Tribolium castaneum: one gene and its partner. Each later gene encodes a partner of the first gene's protein in a complex. Links are inferred from orthologs where the notes say so. Each region holds a gene or a part of one and is shown on either strand. Other genes may lie near its edges.

What was found. Proteins that work in one complex are often made in the same cells at the same time.
Region 2: eIF3i (region 1) and eIF3l share a complex: the UniProt entries of both Drosophila melanogaster proteins name them as parts of the eukaryotic translation initiation factor 3 (eIF-3) complex. The link is inferred for Tribolium castaneum from reciprocal best matches to the Drosophila melanogaster genes eIF3i and eIF3l.

What each region holds. Positions count from the first base shown.
Region 1 is NC_087394.1:744,326-755,894, reverse strand, and holds eIF3i (eukaryotic translation initiation factor 3 subunit I), read left to right. Parts: upstream 1-5,287; 5' UTR 5,288-5,412; coding exon 5,413-5,415; intron 5,416-5,531; coding exon 5,532-5,725; intron 5,726-6,103; coding exon 6,104-6,887; 3' UTR 6,888-6,924; downstream 6,925-11,569. Other genes in the region: proton-coupled amino acid transporter-like protein pathetic, read left to right, coding at 1-29, 713-1,121; mitochondrial carrier homolog 2, read left to right, coding at 2,595-2,699, 2,752-2,836, 2,886-3,180, 3,241-3,427, 3,673-3,939; fmt (serine/threonine-protein phosphatase 6 regulatory subunit 3), read left to right, coding at 8,559-8,618, 8,667-8,746, 10,281-10,554. UniProt on the Drosophila melanogaster protein: Component of the eukaryotic translation initiation factor 3 (eIF-3) complex, which is involved in protein synthesis of a specialized repertoire of mRNAs and, together with other initiation factors, stimulates binding of mRNA and methionyl-tRNAi to the 40S ribosome.
Region 2 is NC_087394.1:32,519,626-32,530,086, reverse strand, and holds eIF3l (eukaryotic translation initiation factor 3 subunit L), read left to right. Parts: upstream 1-687; 5' UTR 688-771; coding exon 772-810; intron 811-947; coding exon of another isoform or gene 948-975; exon of another isoform or gene 976-1,030; coding exon 1,031-1,294; intron 1,295-1,421; coding exon of another isoform or gene 1,422-1,551; exon of another isoform or gene 1,552-1,806; intron 1,807-3,785; coding exon 3,786-5,000; intron 5,001-5,047; coding exon 5,048-5,182; 3' UTR 5,183-5,234; downstream 5,235-10,461. Other genes in the region: iPLA2-VIA (85/88 kDa calcium-independent phospholipase A2), read right to left, coding at 1-78, 125-329, 1,422-1,551; pentatricopeptide repeat-containing protein 1, mitochondrial, read right to left, coding at 6,645-6,890, 6,966-7,140, 7,880-8,010, 8,060-9,454. UniProt on the Drosophila melanogaster protein: Component of the eukaryotic translation initiation factor 3 (eIF-3) complex, which is involved in protein synthesis of a specialized repertoire of mRNAs and, together with other initiation factors, stimulates binding of mRNA and methionyl-tRNAi to the 40S ribosome.

The DNA.
Region 1 (11,569 bases):
ATCACGTTGAATCTTCCACGAGAGGAATAGTAAGTATATCGTATACAGGGTGAGTCAAGTGGGTGTGGTGGTATAACTTATGAGTCACCCTGTATATGTAACGAAAAAAATGGTCGAGCGTTTCGAACTCGAATTCGGTTTTTGTTTATCATTAATCGTTTATTGAGCATATTAGCAATTTTTTGATAAATTTTCAAGGCCACAAATCAACAATTTATTTTTTTATTTATCTTTCTGATGCAGAATTAATCGACGATTTCGAATATGTAATCGATTTTTAATTATCTTTGTTGGTTTCTAAATTTTGGCTGAAATTTGTTCGTCTCTAGTTAAGTGCTAGAATATAATTTTTCAAGGTCACATAAATCAACATATTGAACACAGAATAAGGAAAATTCTCCAAGGATTTAGAATATGTTATCAGTTTTTATTTTCCGTTTCTGGTTTTCGTTTTTATATCGAATATTTCGATATATTTTCGAAGAATTGGCATTTACCTATTAAAAACTAATCTTTGAGATACAACCGTAATTTTTGACTTTTGAGCACTGTCTACCACTGGAATTATAATGTTGAAGGCCACAAAAATCAACAAACTGAAGAGAAAAAGTATTTTTGGTACAAAATTATCAAAAGATTTCAAATATGTAACCAGTTTTTTTAACAAATTGTTAATACTTTTTGAAAAAGTGCTAAAAAAAATTTATTTCAGTGCTGCCCAAGCTGTGAATCTCCTTATCGGCCTTGCAGTATTCTTCACTTACGGTCTAGTGTTTTACGTGTGTTTGGACATTTTCTGGACCGAAATCAAGCACCGTTTCACCACCAAAACAGCACTTGCTAATTACGCCCTAAGAACTATTCTTGTGATGATAAATATCATAATTGCGATTCTAGTGCCTGCCATTGTACCGTTTGTCGGTTTAATCGGAGCGTTTTGTTTCTCGATTTTGGGACTTGTATGTCCTGTGATTATCGAAATATTTACGTTTTGGGATCAGGGATTTGGGAAGTTTTATTGGAAATTGTTTAAACATTTGGTCGTTGTTTGTATGGCGTTGCTTGCTGTTGTTTTTGGGTCGAAAGCGGCCATCTCTGATATTGCAAAAACATTTCACTGAAGCTTTGAATGCTAATATAAAGCTCTAATATTTCGAATCTTCGAGAAAAAAAAGGTTATAACGTAAAACTTGACTATTTATTTGTGTTCTTTGTTTGTAATAAAATTAAAATTACTTCTTCTTGAATTGCATTTATTTCATCTTCCCCTTTTTCCCTGTTTATTAAGAAAACAGTAACTCAAGCGATCATTTAAAAATGTTTTCTACTTGGTTTCACAAAGTTTTGGGACAGCAAAATGTCATAGTTATTTCATCTAATTTACACAATAATCTTTTGTTTTCGACTTATAAACAAAAGTTGATGTTTTAGCGAAATCTTAAACAATTCATATCATCCTTATTATAAAAGATATACATTTGAAACAAAAACATTATAGAGGCACTTTTTTACGTAGAATTTAGTAATGTTATCAGAGATTTTTTTTAACAGTTCGTTTAAGTTCAATAATGTAAAGTTGTATATTTTTAAATAGGAATCTTAGTTGGCTATGACATTTTCGAAAAGCTTTTTTTTTGAACTGAAAACAATATAAATACAGCTTGATATTTTTATATTGATAAAAAATATATTTAAAATATTTTAAAGTAGTTGGCCTCGGAAAAATTATTTAAGTGAAGTGAAGTGAAGCAAAAACTCCAAATAAAAAATACTCTTTCTACTTACAGTTATAAAAAATGTTCAGAAAGTCCATCTGCACTTCCGTAACACAGAATCATATCGGTCATTTCAGGATTTGTTTGATTTTTCATGATAATGATCCACTAACACACGAATCAAAGCCGAACTAACAACACACTAATCTGCACATAAGTACGGCGTACCGGCGATAACAGTTTTTGTGCCTTTTTTGCGTGGCGTACTCATCTTTAAATTAAAAAAAATAAAAAAATAAAAATAAGTGTTTTTTTAATATACTCGTACTGTATAACTTGGTCTTGAAATAAGTTATTAAATTAAAAAAAAAATCACATCTTAACCATACAGAATTGAGCTTCACCATCCCTTACACAAACAAGGTAAGAAGTGAATTTGTATTTAAATAAGACAAAAAAAACATTAAACAAATTTTAGGGTGTTAAATAAACAGCGGGAACATTCAAAGCCAAAAACAAATAAGGTAAGACGTTGTATTAAATAATCATTACATTCCAATCAAACATTGTATTTTTAACAGTCTTGTATAACTGGTTGCCTAACACGCACAAAAAATACAATTTTTAAATTTCCCTCGTATTATGTAAGACACCGGCCGGTATTATTTCAACCGTGAACATTTGCAATTACATTTATTTAAAAAAACACAAAAATAATCCTCCCAAAACCCGCCTTTTCTTCATTTTTTATCAGTTTATCACGCACAAAAAGATAAGCGATCCCAGTTGGCACAATTGACAGTTGTGCCCACTTTTGACAGAAATCAAATCGTGTCCAAGTCTCACCAATTTCCCAAAATTTCCAAAAACAAACCCACGATGAAAGTCGTCAAAGACAACGAAAACAAATGGTCAGGATACGGACTTCGCATTTTCCTCAACACCTTATCGCACCCATTCGAATACGCCAAAGTGCTCATACAGGTTAGGAAATTGTGGTGAAAATCGAGCGAAAATTCTGATTGTCTCATTGCAGATCGGATACGAACCCATACCGCCTCACTCGTCCAAAACCCTGCTCGGTAAACCAGCCCTCAAACTGCCAAACATCTTCCAATACGGTAAACCCCCCGAATTTTTAACCGAAAATAAACAGCCCCCTTATTACAGTCAAACACATCAAGTCGGTCGATGGTTTGTCGGGTTGTTATCGCGGCTTGGGCCCCAAAGTATGCGGCAGTTTGATAAATCTTGTCGCTACACAAAAAATGATGGAATATTTGGACTTGAACCAGCAGGACGAAGAAGAGGATACAGATGTTGAGGAAAATCGAAAACAGAAATTTTTGAAGTGTCTCAAGGGCGATATCATTACACATACAACAGCCATAATCATCAGTCAGCCGTTTCACGTCATCACTATACGAATTATGGCACAATTTGTTGGAAAAGAAGCCAAATATGTGTAAGTTTAGTTTACTGTATTCGATTTTAGGGGAGATTATTATTTTTGGGGGGTTTACAGGGGTGTGTTTGGTTCCATTGGTGAAATATACAGACAGAATGGAATTTTGGGTTTTTTCAGCGGACTCATACCCAGACTGATTGGGGATATTTTGTCCGTTTTGTTGGCAAGCAGTCTGACTTATGTTGTCAATAAGTATCTAATAGAAGAGAAGGAAATACAAAATTATACTTCAGCCGCTGTGTGTGTAAGTGAATTTAAAAAAAAACACAGTTGGTGAGCCCGACTGTCATTCAATGAAATATTGTCCCAGCGATTTGAAAAAGTCCTATATTATTGAAAAGTATTTTTTATAAAAGTAACTCATATCTGGAAAAAGTCTGTACACTTGAAAATAATTTCAAAGGTCAACAATGCACTTTTTCAAAACACAGAGATTATGGCCGCACTGTTGCCAATATTTTGACTAAAAAATAACTAAACCATTTATAGTATTTGTTGTTCAAGAATCACATTTCGCAGATGGTGTCCTCATCAATAATGTACCCCTTCCAAGTGGTGTCAAATTGCATGGCTGTCTCGAATTCGGGTTTGTTGGCTGGATCGCCCCCTTATATGTTGCACTACAACACTTGGATTGATTGTTGGAATGATTTGTCGAGTCGTAATCAATTGAAAAGAGGGTCTAGTCTTTTGGTTCGTTATTACAAGGGTCCTTCGTTGATAACAAGTAAAGGCAATCTACTCAAGGGCAACTAAATTTCATGTTATTCAGTAGTTGGATTTTTTTTCATTACAAATTGACGCAATTGTATGTAAATATTTAGAGTATTGTGTTATTTTACAATAAAATTCTTGTTCAGATTTTAATTGGAGTTTTTTTTATTAAGCAAGCAAAAACTTTGGCTTTAACTTTTAAAATGTGCGACTTGATATAAAGGTAAGTTAAAGTTGGATTAAATCTTTAGTTTCTTTGTTTTTTATTACACCCTGTACATATTTCGAAAAAAAGTGTTTATCCCCATTTTGTTTCTTTAGTTTACAGTTGCTGAAATCAGTAGGACGCGTTCTTGCAAAAATTAACAAAGTCGCTACACGGGTAGGAGATTGAAAAAATAAAGTTTGAAAAGTCAAGGAGTTTTCAAAAAAGAAAAAAAGAAAAAAAATTCAATAAGATTACAAGGAATATTTGTCCCCACTTCATTTTTTTACAAGCCAAGGCCCTACTGGAGCGCTTTATTACTAGCAAAAATATTTATTATTTACACGGTAAAAGCGTTGCGAAAATTAAGTTCTAAAATTCAAAATAATTTTGAAAATAAAAAGAAAAAATCTGTTAGGTTTTAAAGAGTGTTTACCTCCACTTGATTGTTTTACAGTCGAACACTATCCAAGAGCTTTATTTCCTGCAATAATAAACAAAATTGCAGTACGGAAAGCCGGTTGAAAAAAATGAAGTTTAAAAAGTAAAACATTTGCAAAAAAACAAAAGAAAAACATTCAGTAAGCAGAATGTTTGTCATCAATTAATTTTTTTACAGTCGAAAGTCTCATGGCTAGGCTATATATTCCTTGCAGAATTGAACAAAATCAATAAATGGGAAGGGGGTTAAAAAATAATGTTTGAAAAATTAAAATATTTTCCAAAAAAAAAAGAAAAAAAAATAGGTAAGGCCCCAGGGAATATTTATCCACACTTAATTTTTTTTACAATCAAATTCCCATCATCAGGCTTTGCTTCCTACAAAAATTAAAACACGAAAAGGGAGTTGAAAAAATAAAGTTTAAAAAGTTGAGATAAAAAAAAGATTGTAAGGTCCCAAGGTCTTAAATTAATGGCTCTACTTAATTTTTTTACTGCCAAAAGCCCTTTATTTCATACAAAAATAAACAAAATCGCTACAATGAAATATTATTTTAAAAGATTAAGTTTGTAAAGATAATAATTAAAAAAAAAAATCAGTAAAGGCCCAAAGAGTTTTTAATCAATAATCACAGTTAATTTTATTACATATTTTTCCCAACTGCTAAAAATTGCCAAAATGGCAATAACGCCATTTATCAGTTAATTTTGACAATACGGTTATTTCACCTGAGCCGGCACTGACTTAACCCCGCCACTGCACAACCCACCATGACAGTTAATTTTGACACCTCTTCTGTCAAACAACCGTCAAAAAAAGCGTGTTTAATCATTAAAATCCTTAAAAAAACGCCCAGTTTTTTAACAAAATGGTAAGTAACGACTCACAATCAATCGAAAAAAACGCCCCACAACCGTAAAACATTACATTACCCCACAATTTCACCCACATATTGTTCGCTTAAATTTAACCTCAAAACCCCCACAGAAACCCCTTCTACTCCACGGCCACGAACGTGCCATCACCCAAATCAAGTACAACCGTGAGGGCGACCTCCTCTTCTCCTCCTCAAAGGACAACAAACCCAACGTTTGGTACTCCCTTAATGGCGAGAGGTTGGGAACCTTCAACGGCCACCAGGGGGCTGTCTGGTGCATCGACGTCGACTGGACCACCACTAGGTTAATAATAATAATAAATTTATTGCTGCAATAAAGCAAATGGGTGCGCGATAAGGTTGCCTCAGTAGCGAATATACAGGGTGCCTCACCTAATACTTTTGAGCCTGATATCTCAGTTATTTGTCAACGTATTTTTATGAAAATTAAAATGCAGATATTTAGGAAAGTAAAGATTAAAATCCAATTAATGCAAAAACTGAAGTCTTAAAATCGTAATTTTAAAATTAAAATTAATAAAACAGATATTAATCTCGAAAGTTTTAGGTGAGACACCCTGTACAAGTTTTGATTAATTTGCTTTTACTGATTTAATCAAATACTACTTAGACCAGAAATATCACCTATTTTGCTACTTTTTAAACTATTTAAACTTTATAGGTTCCTGTCAGGTGCCGGTGACAACACCCTTAAAGTATGGGACTGTGAAACGGGCAAAGAAATCGGGAACATCTCAACCAATTCATCAGTCCGAACGTGTCTGTTTAGCTACTCGGGCAACATGGCAGTGTACACCACCGACAAAGCCCTCAAACACAACTGCGAGATCTTCATTATTGACGTCCGTAACGTGGACGAAAGCATCTCGCACGCCGACCCCATTTTACGCATCCCGATTAAAGGTTCCCGTGTTTCGTCAATCCTATGGGATAACCTGGACGAAACTATAATAACCGGGCACGAAAACGGGGATTTGATCAAGTGGGACTTGAAGTCAGGCAAAGAGATCAGTTCAACACGTGAACACGAACATTTAATCAACGATATGCAGTGGAATAAAGACGGGACAATGTTTGTGACAGCGTCCAAAGACCACACAGCTAAACTGTTCGACGCTGCTGATTTGATGTTACTGAAGACTTACAAGACAGAACGGCCGGTTAATTCAGCTGCCATTAGCCCCATTTTTGAGCATGTGGTTGTGGGCGGAGGGCAAGATGCCATGGATGTGACAACCACGTCGGCAAGGGTTGGGAAATTTGACTCGAGGTTTTTCCATATGGTGTTTGAAGAAGAGTTTGGGAGGGTTAAAGGGCATTTTGGGCCGATTAATAGTGTGGCGTTTCATCCAGATGGCAAGAGTTATAGTTCAGGAGGTGAAGATGGTTATGTGAGAGTGCATAATTTCGATTCGTCATATTTTGAGTATAATTTCGATTATTAAATGGATAGCTGGTATTAATAAATTTTTTAATAAAACAGTTTGGTTGTTTTTGTTCCTAGATTACGTCCAAGTCTAAGTTTTCGGAGCAATGATTTTAAATAATGATTATACAGGTGCTCCATAACTTTTTTTCTATGCAAGCTATCAAGTTGAATTTTTTTGAAACGCTAGGTTTACTATTGTAAGACTTATTAGGCACGTTCTAAAAATATTTTAATCTGTATACAGAGTATTCCAAAATAAAATACCTAACTATGTTCTGTTTTTTTTTAACAAAAACCCGGATTTTATGGATTTATCTGTCATAGCTTTTTGACTTTTTGACAGAAAATACACAAATAAAGCCCTTGTTAATGTGTTTTTCGTTCGTTTGAAACTGAAATTTAATTACGAAAATAATTTTGGTAAATTTTATTCCGGCGCTTCCAACTTGTGAAATGTAACTAAAACATTCGAAAAAGCAAAAATAATGAAATTTTCAGCTCCGTATTACTGCATTTAGTTACGTTTTGTGTTTTTTGAGACTGAAAAATTACTAACCTCAATTTTGTGGCTTCCAAAAAGTGGCGTCCAAAATGCGTTGGCTGTGACTTCTGTGATGTCACATTTTGAACAAAACGTTAATTTTAGTCATTTTGGCACTAAATACGCACAAAACACTGCTTTTTCAACACAAAAAACTAAAGGAAAAGACGCTTTGAAACAAATGATGTCAAGCCAACTCGATTTCATTGGGTGGTTTCAAGATGAGTGGTTTGTTGTTGTGCGGCAACTGTGAGACAGCGAAAGCGGGAAATTTAAAATTAGATTTTTTTGGCTCGTTTTATTTTATAACAAAAATTTCAATCAACCGTGCGATTAGTCGGTGAATTTAATTTAATTTAATTTAAAATGAGATTTAAGCTAGAATCTTATCAAAAAGCAGAGAAATAATGTGTTTTTCGTTTCTTTAAGCGAGAATTTGCAAAACAAGATAAACTTTTATTATACTTTAACGACGTGCCATAACAGTTAAAAAATGTAAAAATTGTTTTGTTTTTTCAATGCAATCTTTCGAAACAGAAAGTAATTTTGGATCTAATTACGTAATTTTTGACTCACTTTTATTACTATATGGCCAAAAAAAGAGTAGTTTTTAATTCTGAAACGTTCGAATCTGTCAATAATCTGTTCTTTGTTGGCAAAAAAATTAAACTATGTATTTCATAAACTGAGCAAAATCGACAAATAACAATTTCTTACAAAATGAAAAAGTGGATTTTTGGAAAAAAGAGTCCAAAACGCAATATTGTCCGATTTCAAATAATTCACGGAAGCCAGTTGAAAGTTTGAATTTGAATTTGGCGCCACGTTCTGTCATTTCCCCCTCGATCAACAAGTGCATTGTGGGATTAGATGGTGGTCATTTTTGTCATTTATATTATTGTCTAAAAGTGTTGCAACCAACCGAATAAATTGCGTGTTTTACCTGAAGCTCGTCTTAATTACTATGAAATTTGTGATATGCTGTTTATTATCGCTAGCCGTATCTGTGTAAAGTGTGCATTTAACCAAGCGTTTGATAACAAAGGTCATTTCAGATGAACCTAACCCAACGTCTCTAGAGTCACGAAAAAGGTAAAAAACTGTCACAAATCACGTCATTTTTGACATTGCGTTGCAGAAATTACCATGTTTTGGAAATACAACAACAATTCGTCGTCGGAGCTCGACGCCCTGCTCGCCAAACAGGTAAAACCCCCATGGAGTTGTGGAAACCCCCTGATTGCGGTTTTACAGGACGTCACGTTGTCGGAGGTGATGGACGCTGAAGACATCATCAACCAGTGCAAAGCGCAAAGCAAGGGCTTGATCGACTTGTAAGTCTACAGGCGGTTCCGTCTAAACCCCACTTGGTCATTTGAAAATTTCATTAAGGGGTGGTAGTACAGCTCAAAAGAAGTGAAAATAACTCAACTTGCGTGATCTGAATGTACTTATAGTCATCTTGAATTTTGTTTACTGTCTGAATTAGAGATTTTTTACTTTTTTTCTAAATGAGATTTGGTACGATTACAGAACTATTAGCTTCCAAAATTTCATTCAAAAATAATCCCATTAGTCATGTAAACTTTCGAAAAAAGTACTCAAAAGAGGTAAAACCTAGTTGATATTGCGTTATTTGTACGAATTTTTAGTCGCTAAAGTGCTATGTTTCAAAAGTTAGATAAAACAAGGTGGTTTATTTTGACTTTTTTTAACTCTTCTATCATAAAATATTATTTTGCACAACAATCAGTCAGTAATTCAATAATTTGTTCATTAATTAACACTTCTCTTGCTAATTTCTCATTATCATCCCCAACATATTCCCCAGAATTCGGTGAAAAGTTCGTTATAAATGGAAAATTATATCAAATTTTGAGTAAAATCTAGTTGGTTATAAATATTTTTTAAAATTTGGTAATATTATTTAGCTCATTTGAAAGAGGAAGTCTAGATCTTTCCTTTGGTGTTCTGAAATTTCTAAAAAAAAATAATAAAACCCAAATTTTTAAAGTTAAGTTTGCTGAACTTTAAGCACTCATAACTCAATTTTATCAAATGAAATGCCACAAGTTTTATTTCATTAAATCGTAAAGAATTTAATTCTGCATCGATCTGTATTAGCATTCCCTATACTTATGTTTAATAGTTTTCAAGTTACAATAACTTTTTGTAGGGATTGAGAAATTTCCATATAGGCTGCCATGGCAACGAGAGAAAAAATGTGAAAAATTAAAGTTTTTTTTTTATAAATTTATTTTGTTTTCACAGGACGGTGAACACAATTTTGTTGTTTGTTTAATCAGAAATGTTTTTATGGCAAACTATGCAAAAATAGCTGTGGTTAGTAAGAAATTTTTTACAATATCAAGAAAAACAACATAACTTGAAAATTATCACAGATAAATATGGGAAATGCTTATACAGATCGTTGCAGAAAAAATTCTACAATATCTAGTAAATAAAAATTGGGACATCCCATTTGAAAAAATTAAGTTATGGGTACTTGAAATTGTCCAAACTTAAACATAAAATTTTTGGGTTTGTTAACTTCTTTTCCAATTTTGAACACACTGGAGAACAGATAAACACCTTCTCTTTTAATTCTCTAAATATGATTTCCAAATCTCTAAAACTAAGAAAGTTACCGATTTTTTAAGCGACAGGTGCAAATCCAAAAATTTTCAAAAAATCTTAAATATTTCGAAAGCCGTTAGACTTGGGTATAAGGTAAGCTGATTAAAACGGCCTTAAAATAACTCAACTAAGTATTCAGCTAAGTATTTTTATTAATGTGGGGTTTAGACGGAACAACCTGTATAAATAAATCAAGCAGACTTAACAATATTTTAATCGAAAAATTGGCAGTCTTTTGAAGCCCGAAATGATGGAAGAGCTTGTAAGTCTTGTAACACGTGAGCCTTCCAACGAATTGGACGAAAGAGTTAGGTTCAAGTACCCAAACATTGCGTGTGAATTACTTACATCTGATGTTCCTTCAATTAACGAGAGGCTGGCTAGTGACGAAGTACTGCTTGATAAGCTGTACAGTTTTTTAGAGTGTGAGCCGCCCTTAAACCCACTCTTAGCTTCCTACTTTAGTAGAATTATGGGTGCACTTATTGCCAGAAAGACTGAGCAGGTAAGCAACACTAATTATTTAATTTATTTTTTTAATTAATTCATTCAGAATGATTCAATTTATTTGTCAAGGGCGGCTATGAATTCAGTGTTACCAACAATCATTCATTTAAATTAATTGTTTCTTATCAAAGGTGACTCATTCATGTATTTAAAATGAATTATTTGAAGGATTCGTACTTTTTTAACCGTTTCAAGTGTCACACTGTTGGACGATTAACGATTTTTTCACACGTTAACACTAATGTATTTGTTCAAATCACACTTAATTTTTTAATTAAAAAATAATAAAAATTAACATACATACTTTGGGTTTTTAGCAAGACATCTCATTTGATAATTTGTAACAAATTATAACTCTTATAATGTAATATAAATAAATACTATTTGTGCGTTTCCCTGGAACAAACCGTTTTTCTCTACGACTTTTTGTTTTTCAGTTATGATTTTTTTCCTCTAAAAATTTTAAGTGTGAAGATTACTTTAATTTCTTATTTGTTTAAATTACATAAAAATTTGTTTATAATTTTTTAGCGTTTTAACTCGTTTTCGAGTCAAAACTAAAGATATTATTATTATTATTTCTCACAAAATGCTTCAAGTATTTATCAAGAAAAAGGCGTTTTTTAACACGTTTTTATTATTTCTAAAAAAGAGACAGTTTTAGTGAAATTACTTATAATCACGTGATTACTGCTTCAACTGTTAGTAGGACTGTCTGATTTCAAGGTTGCCATAATTTGTTAGAAATAAATTACCTGAAGATACGAAAAATTGAATCATTCTGTGGAAATGTTTGAAGATGTGTGCAATTATTTGAAATTAAGTTGGCACCAATCATTGTTGCCATGAACTTAATTCCAGTCTCATGTAAGATGAAATAAGGAAAAATGAAATGTTAACAATCAATGTGTTGTTATATGTGCTAATGTTTGATTACTGTACGATATGTAACATATTTTTTTCTCCTTTTTTTTCCGCGCCTTTCCCATCACCACGTCTTCGCTCCTTCCGTC
Region 2 (10,461 bases), about 32 Mb from region 1:
TCAACAAACGTGGGTAACTTATCCTTCAAGACACAAAATTTCACTTCAGCTTCGTCAAGATTTGGCGAGCGGTATAAACTAAAAATTGATTTTTTTAACAGTTGACGTGTTCGGGGGCACAAACCTGTAGGTTTGGTGTAGGCTTTCCGTGTACGGGCGATGGAGCACAATTTCGTAAGTGGCCCCTTTTTTCTTGTCAACTGTATTAGCTGGGAGGTAGAGGACCAATCCATCTTCCCGTAGGTGAATCGCTCGGTCGGAAAAAGCGTCTGATTTGGCGTCAATCACTTTGGTTGGGGCGGGTTCTGAACTGAGGAAGCTACGTAAAACTGCAAAATGAAGAATAATATTTGTACCATCACAAAGCAGGGGATTACCACTTGTAAATCCTTGGGCAAACATTTTATTACTTAATATCTATTCATACGGTTACGAACACTAATCACTCACTGAGATTGACTACCGATCATTGTGTTTTATTTAAGAAATTTGTGATTTCATAGTTCAAGGTTTGTTCGAACGAGCAATTGGGGAATGAGGTTAAATCACCGGCTCAGTAAATTTGCATTTAGATTAACATCATGTTTATTGATCGTTTTATTTTAAAACATTTTTCTCACTTACTCAGCGGAAATACTTTTGAAAATGAGAAAAAAATGGAATTTCTTGCACCACCTCGAGTAGAAACCTGTAATTTGTAATTGTCAAACGTCAACTGGCTTCGAGGTTAAGTGCAAGACCATTTGCTCGCTATAGTGGCGTAGGCATATAATGAGTAAATTCAAAATGTTTTCCGACGATTATGAGCAAGTGAGTGCTTCAAACACCTAAAACTTGAACAATTTATCCTTAAACCTACACTGGGTTCTATAAAACTCTAGTAAAAGCTTTGCAAATTGAACCATGTGTCTCAAGCCTATTTGTAAAAGTGTGGAAATAATACCGACCTACATGTTTAGCATGCACCATTCCCATAATTCGTGGCAGCAAAATTGACAATAAATTGGACACTGATTTTCATTTATTTCAGGGTTATGAATACAACAGCTATGATGAGTATGGGGCTCACACAGGAGACCCCAACTTGGACAACGAGTACAATAAACAGCACCTAAAGATGCCGGAAATAGTCAAAAACTTCCTAATCTATTTCCGCAATTGCGTGAATGAGGGTTTAATCTTTGAGTTGCAAACTTTGTATGAAACTTCGTGGCCAAAACTAACCGAAGATTATTTCGAGAAACGCCCCTGGCCAGAAGAGTCAGAAGTGTCAGCGCTAGTCGACAGTGATCCCGTGAGTAAATCCATGACTATTTTACCTTCCGCCTCGATTTTGTCTTTCACTTGGTCTAGTATTTTACCCCCAGTTTCACTCTCCTGGACATCCTTAATTTTTTCCTTTACGTGATCAATTATTTTACCTTCTGTGCCAATGTCTTGGACGTCCTTGATTTTCTCCCTAACGTGTTCACTTTTGTCTTTGAGTTCTTCAGAGATTTTCTCTTTGAGCTCTTCTTTTTTGCTCAGGAGTTGCCTTTTGTAATGCTCCATTGCGACTGTTGGAAGCAGTAGCAGGGAAAAATGAACATAAATGGGTTTTATTATGTCTTTAGCAAAAGGACACGTCAGAAGCGACCTAATTACAAAGAAATCGCTCAATATCTATGATTCTTTGATGTCTATTGATTGTAAAGTTTTTGCTTAAATATTTATTTACGCAGCATGGGCGAAAAAAATTGGTTTAAAATAATAATAAATACGACTTTTGGTTTTGGACTTTAATAATGCGATGAATAATATTAAAATAAATAAAAATAAATAAATAAAATAAAAATAGATTTAACGACAAAAAATAAACTTTGAATAAGGTGCTTACAAGGTCATATCTTTTCTAATACTATACAGTTTCGACGAAATTCTAAATTTCATTTCATTTAAAGGTAATCGATTTCAAAATAAATAAAACAGCTTTTTCCTACATTTTTTTGAATTAGGAGTATACCAAAGTCAATAATAGACAAATACATTTCCAATAATATTTTTTCTCGAGGCTTGAGACTTCTTGAAATAAATCATAAAATTTGCTTATTAAACGAATTTTTGTTCTATAAATAAGTAAAACGCTTAACCAAGTAAATTGCATAAACAAAAAAAATTATGTTATAATCAACTGAATTAACAGAACTGTCTTCACAATTTACTAAAGAATTAACTTTGAGTATTTACCAACGAAAATTTGAATACAAAGTCTTAATTAGGCCCAAAAAAATCGTGAGAATCTTCAAAGTAGATTATTTGTTGTCCTTAAAAACTCATGATAAGATAAATAAATTGAGATCTCAACGGGAAAACTATTCAACTGTTCGTCTCTCTTTTGAAAAATAAAATATGCTTTTAAAAATATAAGAAAATCAGTGATAAATCGTAATAAATAGACGGTACCTCAAGCATTTTCCTAAAAACAATGTTTAAATTAAACCTAGGTACAGAATTTTGTTGCATAAATAAGTAAAATCGTTAATCAGTCATTTAGTTAACAAAAAAAAAAACATGTAATGAACTAAATTAACCAGGAACTACCTCCACAATCTACTAATCATATTTCTGTCAACTTCTATTTTCAAATGGCCTATCTTTTTCAAAAAGATAGTAATATTTAAAGTGATGAAATTAATTGAAATGAAAATCGTTATAAGTAATTGATTACCGACTGGACGCGTATTCGCCTAATAAAAATTGAGTTTAAAATAAGTATAAAAATCTGTGAATATTTTCGAAAGAACAAAAATATTTACTCATAATAGAAATATTATGAATGATTTTTTTACGGATTCAGGTAATACTGAGGGAGTGTATACCAAATACAGCGTGCTCAAAAACTGGCGCACCAACTCAGTGGTGTGTGGTAGAGAACTGGTTACATATAAAGGTAAAAATAGTAAAAAAAATCTTTGTATTACTGTTATTGATAAATAACTAATTTTAGGTAAATGATATGTGGCAACGTTGTCTAACAGTCATGATTGCAATAGAATTTGAGCAACAATAAAAATAAATTATTTTTGAAACGGTTTCCTAGGAAATAATTCCCAGTGTTGGCACATCTACACATTGTGATTTTTTGGATGAGTTTTAATTTTTTTTAATTAAAAAAACTGCTAAAATCTGATAGTAAATTTTAAAATAATTATTCATTGTATTGTTACGGAACGATAACCTGGTATGAAACATAGAAATATAAAAAAATAATGAAAACTAAAGAAGTTAACACAATAAGTTTGTAGCTCCAGATTTTTTAAAATATAACTTTAGAAATTTATTCAACATTTTTCCCGTAATCTGCACTTGCTTCTCAATAACGTACCACTGAGTTGGTGCGCCAGTTTTTGAGCACCCTGTATATAAAAAGTAGTGAGATTACGGACGGGACACAAAAATTTATCTTACGTAACAATTTTATTATAACATGAAAACTTTAACCAAAATAAAAAAACAACTAACAGTCATCAAAAAAAGGAACACCATTCTTGGGAAATTAAATTACGTACGTTTAACAATTAATATTTTGTCCCAAACCTATATATAATTTTTGAATTGTATTTCAGTTATTTGACACTATTTATAGGAACATAACTTCCAATTTGAAAACGCTTGATTTTGTTCACGTATAGAATTCTCTACCATTATTAATTATTAATTTTTTGGGTTCAATGATTACAAATACGTGAAAATTATTATTTTCACTTACTTCTTGCGGGAAATATCCTATGCAACCCTTCTTGCAGGTGTTCATGATCCTGTACAAAGAGCTCTACTTCCGCCACATTTACGCGCGCATTCAAGGGGGCCCAACCCTCGAGCAGCGCTTCAATTCGTTCTACAATTACTGCGACCTCTTCAACTACATCCTAAGCGCTGACGAACCGGTGCCTCTAGAACTCCCCGACTTGTGGCTATGGGAATTAATCGACGAATTCGTCTACCAATTCCAATCATTCGCCCAATACCGGGCCCGCCTTCAGAAGAAAACCGCCCAAGAACTGGAGACTCTAAACTCGCACAATAAAGTGTGGAACGTACTTTGCGTTCTGAACGTGTTGCATTCTCTGGTCGACAAGAGCAACATCAAGCAACAACTGGAGGTTTGCGCCAGTGGGGGCGACCCCGATTCGGTGGCCGGCGAGTTCGGGAGTCACTCGCTCTACAAAATGTTGGGCTATTTTTCCCTGATTGGGCTTCTGAGGCTTCACTCTCTGCTCGGGGACTACTACCAGTCGATCAAAGTGCTGGAAAACATTGAGCTGCATAAGAAGTCGCAGTATGCGCACATCCCGGCTTGCTTGATCTCAACGTCGTACTATGTGGGGTTTGGGTACATGATGATGAGGCGCTATTCTGACGCAATTCGCACGTTTTCGTCCATTCTCTTGTACATTCAGAGAACCAAGCAATTGTTTGCTTCTAAAAGTTATCAGCACGACCAGATTAACAAGCAAACGGATCAGATGTACCACTTGTTGGCCATTTGCTTGGTTTTGCACCCGCAGTGTATCGACGAATCGATCCAGCAAACTCTGAGAGAGAAAAGCTACCATGAGAAAATGTACAAGATGCAGTATGGGGACCTCCAGGAGTTTGAAAATTGTTTCGTTTTCGCTTGTCCTAAGTTTCTTTCGCCGTGTCCTCCGCCGGTGGATTCCATCCCTGATGATTATTCGAAGGAGGCGATCCGCCACCAAACTCAAGTTTTTATGGACGAGGTCCAGCAACAAAAAATGTTGCCAACGATTAGAAGTTACTTGAAGTTGTACACCACTTTGCCCATTGCCAAGTTGGCGACTTTCATGGCGCAGAATAAGAACAGTGAAGGGAAGTTTGATGTTGATAAGGAGACGCAGAATCTTTTGATTCATTTGTTGTGCTTCAAGCACAAAATGAAGAATGTGGTGTGGTCGAAGGGCTCGTCGGGGCTGGAAGGGAAGCTGGAGAGTGGCTCAGAGGTAACATTTTGTAATTTTTGGTTTTGTTTCGTAAAAAAATATTTCAGCTGGATTTCTACATCGATAATGATATGATTCATATCGCCGACACGAAAGTGGCGCACAGATACGGCGATTTCTTTATAAGGAAAATTCTCAAGTTTGAGGATTTGAACAGGAAGCTTCACAATCTTAAATTCTAATGTAGAATTCGGTGTAATTTTTGCACTCAACGAATAAAATTGCTTAAAATAACTGTACTTTTCTTTTTTTCCTTAGCCACCTCAGTCACCTTTGTCTATACAAATTTGGAACAGGTATTAAAAATTTCACCTTATCTTTGATCACTATCATTTAACAAAGTTTTTTATTGATGCAAGATAAATCAATTAAACCTCTTTTATCTTTTAAGTATCATTGAGTTTAATTAGGCATTTATATTCAGTTTATTATTCGTTTGCAACTGAAATGGATAAATAGTTTATTACTTAATATTTTTCTAACTTTTTGGAAACACTAGTGAGAAAATTATTTCTCAACAAAAGCGTGAACGCAAAATTAGACTTTTATAAAAAATAATAAACAAAATTGTTTCCTTTTCCCTCACAGATTAGTTTAACTTTATATTAAATATTTGTAACCGAATCGATTAATTTATTTTATTCTTCGACACTGTCAAAATTTACGGTTTTTCTCCTGTGTAAGGAAGTTTTGACAACTGTTTGGCATTTCTCAGTACGAAACGTCAGATTATTTTTAACAAATTTAAAGCAATTTTAAGCCTTGCTGAGTCTATTTCGAAGAATAAAATGTTGTATTCAACTCGTTTTTGTGTAAATCGGTTCATTTATTTCGCCTCGTGGATGATAAACCACTCGTTTTCACTCGTGGTTTAAAAATCCACTCGTGAAATAAAGCGTCCGATTTACACTCAAACTCATTAAATAAATAACTATTACAAAAAAAAATTAAGTTGAAATAGAATGCCTTAGCAACGCACAATTTTGATTCATTTGCTTAGATTTAAAATTTTCCGTTTTGAAACTTTATTTAGAGAAACATTTTTTGTATAAAGAAACACCGTCTTGTTTCCGAAAAATACATAGAAAAAATTCGAGGCTTTGTTATCAGCAGCAGCAATCACTCGTAGTTGTGACTTAATACTTGAATGCGAAATTTTTATTGTAAAAATTCTCTTATCACTTATTGTAAAAATGTTGCATTTGACAATGATTTAGCATTGCTCATGTAGTCACAGTTCTAATTTGTGTAAAATTCGCTCAATGAACAAGTATTGCAAGTTAGTTTCACGTCTTAATCAACACATGCGCATAAAAGATATTTTAAAATTTTTTGCGCTCAGAAGTGAGTATATTTTATTTTTTATGAAATAAGTGCGTTCCATTCGATTCGAAAACAGTGGCAAAGAGATAAATAAAACATGAGTCATTTGCAATTAGAATTGGTCAAAACACGTAACTGCAAATTTTAATTAACTTTTTTAATAATCTAATAAGTAGTAGATAAAAATCACGGTACAAAATTACTCATGCGCTCTGCTGATTATGTATTCTGCATATGCTAACACGTGACTACATACCTCAGTGCTACCACAGCTTCGTGACTTTATTTCAACATGTCTGAAGAAATAGCACAAGGTACAATTTAACGTTCGTTTCCTTTACGTTTCGTTGATGTTTTGACTTTAAATCGTGACAAATGTCTGGCTTTAAACCTCTGTGATTTATCCTTGTAATGCCTACTGTCTGTATCACTTGTCTGTCTGAACTGGGCCCAAGGATGGACGTCTTCACTATCATCAACTTCAACCTCATCCAGCCACGTCTTGTACCTCATCTGGAATATTCTAAATCCCTTTTGGAAAAATCCACTTTGCGATAATGTATTTTCCTACAAATTAAAATTGCAATGACAGTAAATCTGAAGTGGCTTAAGTGATAAAATCTTGAATGGAAAAATAATCACCTTATCATTTGAGATATCTTTGCACTTCTTTTTAAAATCGTGCAAACATTCCATAAACTTCTTATTCGGCTTCACGTTCTCTCGCAAACTAATTTCCATTATTTCAAGTACGTAGGGGAAGTTTTTGTGGTAGCAAGCCTGGTGCAGCATCGCCCCCAAAATTTCAGTATTTAGCCTAAAGTTATAAAATAGTTATTTAATTAATGAAATCGTCAAGTACTCAAATATCATTATTTAGGTCCAGAACCGTCCACAAAATGTTCAATTTCAATTTTTTATAAGAAATTATATGACTTCCAAACACTAAAGTAGTTGAACCAAAATTACAGTCGAACAAAGTGAAAATTACGCCTCAATAAACCAGTTCCTGCTGGTAACATCCTTCAGGAGTCAGTTTACAGAATGCGAAATTAAAATTTAATTCAGAATTAAATTAAATACAATTAAGTTGCCATTTATTTTGCACTGATTAACGTCAAGTTAAATTAAAATGTAAATTTTTTAGTGAAAAGTTTAACAACCATGTCATCATTTTTTTCTGTCTTATCGGTTTAACTTTATTCATCAATGTTTAGTCAGGCGTCATTTTCATTTTGTCCGCCTGTACACTTTATATAATCGAGTAAATCTGCTAAAAATATTTACTGTATCTCAAAAACTAATGAATACACAGAAATCAGCATTTATTTAATTTAATTAATTAAAAATATTACTAGGGTGTTAATAATTAGTTGAAATTTTAGTATCTTTAGTGTCAAATGAACGATTCTTAAATGATGTTTTGAGGAAAAAATACGTAAAAAAATTGGTTTTGTCCCCAAATTAGATAAGTAACGTAATTTTGATTAAAGGCATGGTACAAAAAATTTCAACTTTACGGGCTGTTTAAAAAAAAAGTTTTATGTTTGAGCTACCTATATGAGTGTGCTTCCATTTCTTTCAGTAATTCTAAAGCCTCTTCTTTAGTTTTACAACCCAGCGATAAAACCCCATACGTTATCAAATTTGGTCGATAGTTATATTTTTTCATGTCGTTCAAAACGGCCTAAAATCATCAAAATGAGACAGGAAATTTTCATTTTATTTATTCCTGCCTTTGCGCTTTCATAATCAAACCGCATACTCCTCTTCTTAATCAACATATTGAAAAAGTCAATGTCCGGCTTAACCCCAAGTCTTTTCATTTCTCGTAAGAGCTCTTTCTCAGCAGCTTCACTTCCAGGTAAGCAGTCCAAAAGTTGGGTAAACGACTTAATATCAGGCGTGCAACCACTCTCCGTCATATTCCCCAAAAAACCCCTCAAACCCCCAACTAGCAGCAACCTATCCTCAGGCTTGGTAATTTCAGACAACGAAATAATATTCCCTAGATGGGGCACTCTTGCCATGAGATTCGGGCGGCAATGGTCGACTTCGCCCACTAATTCGTTACTTTGGATCAAACATTTGCCATCGTTTGAGCCCTCTAGCAACAATTTATTGTCACCGCCACTCAACCGCAGATTTTTTTTTAAAATTATTTGCAACGTTTCGTTCGTAACTTCCAAATTACCAAGCCCGCAGTCACGAACACACCTCAAGATTAAGTTGTAAGTGTACAAGTTTGGCGCAATTCGCTTGTCTACCATTTTGCGCCAGAGCAACAAAGCGTGGCGAAAGCCCGCTTCCCTGTCCTGGATGCAAGCTTGCAGCAGGAAGTTCATCGTATCTCCGGTGATTTTGACTTTTTTCGCGGCCATTTCGTCAACTAATTTGAACGCAGCTGGGAGGTCACCACAGCGCCCGAACGCTTTGATCATGGCGTGATAATTTGTGTCGTTCGGTTCGTACATTTTCTCTATCATTATGTTTTGCAGCTTTCGGGCTCTGGTTAGGCCGTCTTCTGGCCAGGGGCTGTTGGCACAGGCGTTGAACAACGCTGTGTACGTGCCAGCTGTGATTTTCAAGCCGCGTTTTTTCATCTGGTTGTAGACAGAAAACGCCTTTTTCGTGTACCCCACACGGCCGCAAGCGCCGATTAATAAATTGTAGATGTAATTTTCTGGCTTGACTTTGTCTTCCTTGATCATTTTCACCTCAACCACGTCGATTGCTTCCTTGATTTTGTGTTGCTTGATCAGTGCTTTTATCATGTCGGCGTACTGTTTTGTGCTTTGCCGTTTCAAGGGGATTGTTTTTTCGGACCAGTCCTTTTCCTCTTCCAGGTCTTTTTCGTAAATTTCCTCCCTTTCTTCGGGGTCGCCAAAGGTGTCAGGGTCATTTTTGAGACGTACTAAAAACTCCTGCTCGGTTTTTTCTTGTGGAATATTTGCAGCATGTGAGAATAATCGTGTGTTGGAGGTTAGAACTTCGGTTTGGGCATTTTCCCGAAATTTACAGTTTAGCAGGTGTGGGTATTGCTTAATATTTAGCAATGTATTTGCTTTTTGTGGCTTGCCACTTTTTACGGCTTGTTGTGCCAGAAATTTTAATAATTTTAAACGATACATTTAATTTTTTGCTTCCATAACCTCAAAACACAATTGCTGACAATTGACAGGTTCCAGCTGTGCCAACACATGAGGCAAAAAATTCAAAATATTTTTTTCAATAATAATTAAATTGTCGTTTTGGAGATAAGGTAGTCTTAAAGATAAGATTATAATTAGTCTTCTTAAAGACATTAATATTTTTTGTATAAAAATTATCTGGTTTAACAATAAAATGTAGTTTTTTTCATATTATTACAGGAAAAGACTGATACTTGCCTTATTTTCTCTATTTTTAATAGTTTTGCTTCATAAGAATTTTACCGGGAGTGAGTATAGTAATTAATGCGTTTCAAGGTTGGCGCACATGCGACGTCGGGCGTCGCGACGTTGGTCGTCGATTTTAGCAATGACGTAGCAATATTAACGTTAAAATCACCTTCACGACCTCAAAGAAACTGCGGTATTAGAGTTAATTCAAGAATTTAATCACAAACGAGAGACATATTACATAATTTATTTGGGTAACATAAATTTATTAATTTTAATTTATTAATGTCTTTTCTGACTTTAAAGGTAATATGTCAAGAGTAATTTTCTTAAAATTCTGGCGTCAGAATATTTATTGTTTGCTGCAAATTTGAGCTATCATAAATATGACTGGTAAGAACCTAACATTTATACACGTAATTTAGTTTTTTCATCAGTAAAACAAGTTGGAGACTGTTACATAACAGTCAGTGCGTTTCTTAATTCTAATTTTGATTCACATTTTGTTCTTGTATTTTTAATAAAAGAGGCGTTTGGCAACAGCTTAATTTTCGGCAGTTTTTTTTTCTGCTCCTTCTGCAGCTGCAAAAGACGTTATTTAACAAACTGACTTTACTTAATTTATTTAAAAGCAGTTTGTTGTGACTAGGATTGTGACCAATATTGTTTTATTTGTAACGAGAATTCACATTCCTTAAACTAGGCACAAGCGAAAGAACGATATTTTACATAAATACAAAGATAAATGACAGTTTGTT